2 linked regions of the Cricetulus griseus genome follow. The main gene of each other region encodes a partner of the protein of the gene in region 2 in a complex. Links are inferred from orthologs where the notes say so. Each region holds a gene or a part of one and is shown on either strand. Other genes may lie near its edges.

Region 1 (4,028 bases), on a different chromosome or scaffold from region 2:
GAGATAAAGTGCACGCATGGCCCACCTGTGTGAGTAGAAGAGGACATCGATGAGGGTGGTGGCAATAGCCGGCAATGTTTCGGGGTCCAGTGTGAGAACACAAAATCGGTTCTGCGGGCTCTGAATGGGATGCACCGTGGGGCTGGGCCCTGCTCAGGATACATGGGCCACAAGGTGAAAAGGCAATCCTGGGCTTGGGCGACCCCTGGTGGTTGGGAAGGGAAGGGCCTGGGTGTGCCTATCCCAATGTCTCACACATTGAGAAACGGTATCTGCTGGTCCGATTGAAATACCCATCCTATCCCTTTCAAGGACAAGCCCTCCTGTAAAAGGTCCTACCTAAATCTGGGTGTTGGAGGGCAGACCTTACCATGCTGGGCTCGGGGAAAGCCATTGCTGGAATCATCCCTGGCAACAGGCACAGGTTCCCCGCCTACTTCCCGGTAGATTTGGAACTCCTGGGCCAGTGTGTGGATCACTACAGACAGGTCCTGCTCCCGTACCTGGGTCAAGGCAAATGACATACATTATACAGCTCCAGGCTCCTCTGCTTATGCCCTGTATCAACACCTGCCCAAACCCACCAGGATGAAGTCTGTCTGGTATGTGGACAACATCAACACAGACACGTGGTGCTCGGCCAGTGGGGCAATGACAGACCGGGCAATCTTGGTAACTCCAGCAGCCTGCATCACTGCACCGCTGTGAGATGATACGTTCATCACCAGCCATGTGGCCTCGGCCACTTGCAGGAACTCAGATGGGGGTAGCTCTGTGGGCGGGAGGTACACGCCTGGTTAGTGTGAGCCTTAGTGAGTTCCAGCAAGGCAGGTGAGGTCTGAAGAGCACGGCTGTCTTCTATCATTTCTGCCCTGCTTCGTTTGCAGGTGTTCTCAAACTCGGAATCAGGTTCAAGTTCCAGCTTCACCTTTGCTGTGTGACTTGAGGTAAGTGGCTTTTCATTGTTTGTTTTGAGACAGAGTCTTAAAATGTAAATTAGGCTAGGCTTGAACCCAAACTGATCCTCTTGCCACAGCCTCCTAAAACACTGTGATTCCAAGCCTGTTTAGTCTGTTTCCTATCTGCAAAATGGGATATTCCTGGGGACTTTTCTGTGGCCTAATAGGCTTCATAGAACCACCAGAGGGCGCCAAGCAATCTACTGATTGGGAGTTGCTCCTTTGCAGACAAGAGATTTCCCTACAGAACAGGGAAACCAAGTCCTTCAGGAGGGAGGTTAGGCCAAGCTCCAGGTGGCTGGCTTGAGACTCTAGGCCTCAGAGGATAGGCCAGGAAGGCAGAAATGGGAGCCAGAAGTCAGTTCCCAGGTCCCAATGCTGAACAGGGACAAGGGCCAGGGTGGCTGTTGTTCGCCCAAACACAGCCAGGAGGCCCCAGGACCCTGCTCTGGGCTTGCTGCCTGCTCCTGCATTCCTTCCCCAACCCTCAGGCTCCTAGACTTCCCGGGCCAGTAAAGGAGGATCTGGCTTTCACTGGCGAGAGAATTCCAAGAATAAATAATGTCCGTGGGTTAAAACAGCTACAGGAACCCCTTAATGGGGACTAAAACTGTGAGACAACCCCCCCCCCACACACACACACACCCCTTACTGGCCTGGGACTCACACCCTGCCCTTCCTGGGCTTTAAGTTTATAAAGCTCTCATAAATACTGTTAAACTGACAAGACTATGTCTTACATAAGAGAAAACTTAAGTGAGGGGTGGAGGATTCGAACCCAGACTCATATGCCTTTGAGACCTTGGGAAGCTGGATCCATCCCTGCACTTGGTAAGAATACGGCTTACTGGTGAGCAAGGGGCCAGTTCCCACCTTTAAAACCCTCCTCATCCACCATGAGTGTGTAATCTTCCGGGGTCTCCGTCAGGCTGAAGAACTTGCACCTAGTGGGGAGGGAAGGGGTGGGGAGACTTTCAGGCTGGAGTGAATGGGCTGGAGAGGACAAGCGAACTTCGTTCCAGCAGTACTAAAGGACCCCCCGCCGGGCGCCTTCCTGACCCGCCCTCAGGCCTCAGTTCCTTCCCTGGAGCAACGTGGTCTGGGTCCCATCTCCGGCTGATTTCCAACTCCAGATCTTCCCTCCATTCCACACCCTAGAGGTGTCGGGCTTTGGGTTCCCCTAAACAATTCTTAAACTTTACGCGAGGCGCCTGGGAAAGGGCTAAGGCAGGGCTAGGAAGGCATGCCCCACTACACGCCTATCCCAGGCAGTTTGCACCTTGACAAGCCCTGGGAGGCGAGCTCTCCGGGCCGGATAGGCGGCGTCTCAGAAAGGGTAGGCCCGGCCCGGATGGTGGCCAGAACCGACAGCGTCCCCACCCGGTACCCGCTACCTCGAGATGGCCCTAATCCTCCGCCCCTGGCCTAGAATGACAGAGGAGCCCCCTCCCGTCTGACCTGCGCCCCTGAACCCGGGTGCGCACCGGCTGCGATGGGGCAGGAAGAGCAGTTTGATGAGTGGGTGGGTGTAGAGCCAGAGGCCCTGGCGGGCGACACTCAGGACCCGCACCCGGTGTTCTAGGATGTGCAGTTCCATCGCAGATCGCACGGCCACGGCCCCTCCGCCAGCTAGACCCAGGCAGGAGGCGGGGCGGCGCCCGGCTTAAAGGAGCCGCGGTGAGGGGCTCCACGCCGCCCGCTACGCGGCGGCCCCGCCCAGCCAGCGACCCACTCTCCGGCGGCCACGCCCCACAGCCTCTACGAAGTGACCACGCCTCCTCCAGAGCCCTGCTTTCCCAGCGCTGCCGGCTGCCCTCGAACCCAGCCTTCGCCCGCTGTCCATTCCTGTAGCCTCAGTCTGAGGATCACTGCCTGCTCCCACCCCTCGGTGGCCTCCAGGCCACGCCCCGGCTACGCCCTTTCCGCTGCGGGCAGTGTTGGGTTTGGGAACGTGCCGGAAGTTCGGGGTCCTATCTAACCTCCAGACTTGCACGTGGGGCTTTATGGTTGAGGCCATTAAGACGCGGGAGGGCTTCAAGACGTGACGGAGTTCGGCTGGAGCCGAAATGCTGTCCACAAAGCTCCAGAGTGGAGGCCAGAGACCCGCGCGCGGTACAGCTGGGCGGGGCCTTTGTCTTTCCTTTTATTGCTGGGGGCAGGGACTGCAGAGCTGATGAGACTGATAGGGACTAAAGATCACTAAGCTTGGGCTGCCCTGGCAGAAATTGGTATTGACCTTGCCATCGTTTTGACCAGGAGAAACCTGGCCTGTGTGCCCCAGGTTTTTAATCACCCTACTTCCAGAGTTGAATACTTCTCTCTAGGGAGGCACAGAAAAAGCGACCTATCACCTGAGCAACATACAGTGGGCTCTGAAGCTTGAGGTTATTCCAGAGAAACAACCCAGAAGTGCCTGAGCTGGGAAGGCCCAGGGCTCAGACATTGAAGGGACAGCCTCTTGCATTTGAGGCTCCCTGGGTATTCAGGCCAGAGACTTGAGCCCCGCAGAAGTCGCCTTAAAGTTTGTCACCATTAGCAGAACTCAACTGGCCTGAGCACATCTAGATTTACTTCAGATCCAAGAAGGCCCCAAGCACTGGTAGACACCCCAGGTATGATCAAGCATCTGAAGGTTTAAGAAGACCCCAAGGGTGAGCAGGAATGAGCAAACACAGGTTGGTTTCTTGGCAGGACACAGCATGCTCCACGGGGCCCTAATTTGGCCCAGGCACTCAAGCCTCAGCTTGGAGGCTTTGAACAAGGTCTGGTAAAGTCAGTCTCGGGTGTGATTGGGACCCAGCAGGCCCATGCAGGACTTCATGCGCTGGATCCTGTACTACAGGCAGACGGAAGCTGGGCTCAGCCCTGTTCCTGGCTTTTCTAGCTCCAGATGATTCTCATGGAACATTGTGCGGCCACCACATCCTGGCTTGTCCTCTGAAGAACTAGGGGTGAGGGATGGGGTCCACTCACCATGGCAGGTGTAGACAGTGGGAAAACATTGGGGTGAGAGGCAGAAGGCAGAGAGTGAGTGAGCTTCCCAGATCCTCTGGTGACCACTCACTTCGC
Region 2 (3,176 bases):
AGAAAAATTAAACTGAAAAACTTTTTAGCATGTTTTCCTGAAATTTCACGAATTTTTCTCTTTTGTAAAGAAAAAAAAGTTTCGAGATACATTCTTTTTAAATTAAATTTTATTCATTTCTTATTTTCTAAGTGTGTGTGCATCTGCTTGCCTCATGCCATGGCGCCCTTATACAGATCAGTAGATTCACTGCTTCCAACATGTGAGCCCCAAGGATTGAATCCAGTTCATTAGGATGGGAAGCAAGGCCCTTATTGCTGAACCACCTCACTGGTCCACTCTTAACTTGGATTTTTTTGAAGAAGGCAACAATGATCTATGTCAAAAATTCACATTAAAATACACACACACACACACACACGTGTACTTTTCTCAAACATATTAACATTTATACTCCAGTGTAGGTCAGGTGCTAATTCTCAATGTAAAAATTCATATTTTATCTGAATGGAATCTTAAACTTTTATCTGAACCACTGAATTGGCCATTTGGCTTTAAATATGTACAGATTCTATCAAAAGATATCAAGTTCAGATTGATAATGCTGACACAAGGTCTGTTTTTATTCTAAAACCCTCTATACACACTCATAGTTGACAAAACCCTAGAAGGTTGTTTCAAATGAACTTTAACCTACTGCATAGCACTCATATTCATGCTCTGATGTTTCTTTCAACAGCATCTGCCTCTAAGAAGCACATCAAAATCACTCAAATGTCAAATTGCTGATCAGACAGAATGATTTATTTTCCCATTATAAGAAAGTCATGAGTGACTTGTTCTGAGGTATGTTTCTGAACTATGAAGGACATCTATTTAAAAACTCCACATTTGAAGGTTTCTCTTTAGGTACAACATTTCATGGCTGGACAGTCTCTGCTGGTACCAGATTTCCTGTTGTATCCAACTGCATACATTTACACGTGCATGCAGATACAGGGCACTCTGCATGGTCCCTGAAAAAAGGGTGAAATAACAGTTAGGAATCTTTATACATTCAGAAATCTTTATATAACAATCTTCAAAATGCCACTGGGTTAAGCATATAAATTCAAACCCTTAGTAAAAAACTGCATTAAGAGTATTAAATTAGGGCTGAAGAGATGGCTCAGAGGTTAAGAGCACTGGCTGCTCTCCCCGAGGTCCTGAGTTCAATTCCCAGCAACCACATGGTGGCTGACAACCATCTATAAAGAGATCTGGTGCCATCTTCTGGCATGCAGGCATACATTCAGGCAGAGCACTGTCTATGTAGTAAATAAATATTTTTAATAAATAAATAAAATAAGGAGCATCAAATTAGAAACAATCACCAAGGTGAACTTTGAGGAGACTGTTACTGAAAATGAACAGTTTTAGTTTCTACACTATATACCAAAACAGTAACTAAGGGGACAGGGCTGTACTAAGGTTAGCAAAAATGAGAGAAGGCTCATGAGAATGTTATATTAATGAATGGCACAGGACCACTAACACTGTTCAAAATCAGTAGTTAGTTTATTTGAGAATCTCCATTGCAAGAGCAACTTATGTGGAGATTACTTGGAAAGAACTAATGTAGTAGATTTGTGTGTGTGTGTGTGTGTGTGTGTGTGTGTGTGTGTTTATGTGTGTGTATAATTATATTCGTAATTTAATTACATGAGATTATAAGATATAAAAAACTGTAAATATCCTACCCGCCAATGGGGTTAAAGAATGTTAAACATTTAATCCATACAAAGGATTTATAGTATAAAAAAACTTAAAAACAGGGTCATGCTATGTAGCCCTGGCTAGCCAGGAATTTGCTATGTTCAAGCTGTTCCTAAACCCATCTCATAGGGATCCACCTGCTTCTTCCTCCCAAGTGCTGGATCAAAGTCAAGTACCACCACAAACCTGGCATAGGTATTACTTTTATAGTTTAACATTATATAAGATAATAGTGGAACCATTGATACTTCCTTTGTTAAGTCAAATAAGCAATAAGTTTTAGAAACATTAATTCCTTAATTCGACATAATACAATAATACCAAGAGCCTGAACTATTGAGAAGGCTATCTGCTCTATGTCCTGTAACTGTAAGATTATCAAGGAAGGAAAGTGCAGTTTACCTGAACCAACTAAGCATATGTCCGGCATGCCCACCATGCCGACAATTGTGACACCAGGTAAACCAATTGTTAAACTGAGCTAACTTTTTGTCCTTGCTCAAGTCCACTTTTTCATCTGATTTCGATCCACCTATGGGAAAAAAAAAAATTGATCACTGTTAGCCACACCACAGCAGTTTAAGTTTCTTAAAGGGTTACTATGCTAAAATATAAATCATATACCATATTGAAATAGCAATTAAGATCTAGTACTAAATAGTTTATACACATATACACACATTAGTTGTTGTTTTAAGACAGCCTCACTATGCAGCTCTAGCTGTCCTTTCACTATGTAGACTAGGTTAGCCTGGAACTCAGAGAGATCTACCTGCCTCTGTCTCCTACTAAATGCTGGGATAAAAAAGGCTTGTGTCATTACACCGGGCTAGTTTACCTATATTTTTAATGGTTAACAAAAAATGCCAAAGTGTAACTTATTCAAACCTACTAAGAAACTACCTGAATTAAAAAACATTACACTCGTCAAAAACCCTTTCCCAAAAGAAATATAGACAGAGGTTTCAGGTGAGTTTTACCAAACACCAACATCTACACAAACTCTTCCAAAGAAGATAAAAAGAAAGCTCATGTGATACTTCTTGGGGTTGACACAATTTGCTAACAAAATGACCAAAATAAAAAAAACAGCCTGAGAAAGAAAGATTACAAACCAACCTATCTCCTGAACAGACATAAAAATAACAGGTAAAATACAGGCAAACAGAATCTTGCAATAACACAACCCAATTCTACTTCTAGGTAAATATAACAGAGACACTGTTTGTATATATAAAGGAGACACATGAAATGTTCACAGTAGCACATTATTCCATATTCTAGTACAAATATGGAAATTAAATGTTTAATACTATAGCAGAAAATCCTGCTATATTCCAGAACGAGACACTTATGGTAGTAGAAAATAAATTGCAGCATCATTCATCAGCGTGAGACCAAGAAAAGCCAAAAAACAAAACAACAACAAAAATCTAGACGTACAAGTCCAAGGTTAAATAAAACAGGAAAATCAAAGAAAA

The links.
Region 1: the proteins of Mios (region 2) and Castor1 are in contact, whole or in part, in a cryo-EM structure (PDB 9LVK), measured with the Homo sapiens proteins. The link is inferred for Cricetulus griseus from reciprocal best matches to the Homo sapiens genes MIOS and CASTOR1. Residues at the interface, in NP_001357005.1 of Homo sapiens: Ala83, Asn84, Val109, Pro110, Lys111, His112, Ala113, Arg114, Asp134, Lys135, His136, Arg137, Asn184; in NP_001032755.1 of Homo sapiens: Val94, Ser116, Thr117, Tyr118, Gln119, Thr120, Asp121, Thr188, Tyr236, Leu255, Thr256, Ser257, Ser258, Ala295, Tyr296.

The regions. Positions count from the first base shown.
Region 1 is NW_023276807.1:100,670,734-100,674,761, forward strand, and holds the start of Castor1 (cytosolic arginine sensor for mTORC1 subunit 1), read right to left. Parts: upstream 2,808-4,028; 5' UTR 2,557-2,807; coding exon 2,444-2,556; intron 1,904-2,443; coding exon 1,833-1,903; intron 773-1,832; coding exon 585-772; intron 504-584; coding exon 371-503; intron 150-370; coding exon 26-149; intron 1-25. UniProt on the Homo sapiens protein: Functions as an intracellular arginine sensor within the amino acid-sensing branch of the TORC1 signaling pathway. As a homodimer or a heterodimer with CASTOR2, binds and inhibits the GATOR subcomplex GATOR2 and thereby mTORC1.
Region 2 is NW_023276806.1:216,952,609-216,955,784, forward strand, and holds the end of Mios (GATOR complex protein MIOS), read right to left. Parts: intron 2,228-3,176; coding exon 2,098-2,227; intron 957-2,097; coding exon 860-956; 3' UTR 530-859; downstream 1-529. UniProt on the Homo sapiens protein: As a component of the GATOR2 complex, functions as an activator of the amino acid-sensing branch of the mTORC1 signaling pathway. The GATOR2 complex indirectly activates mTORC1 through the inhibition of the GATOR1 subcomplex.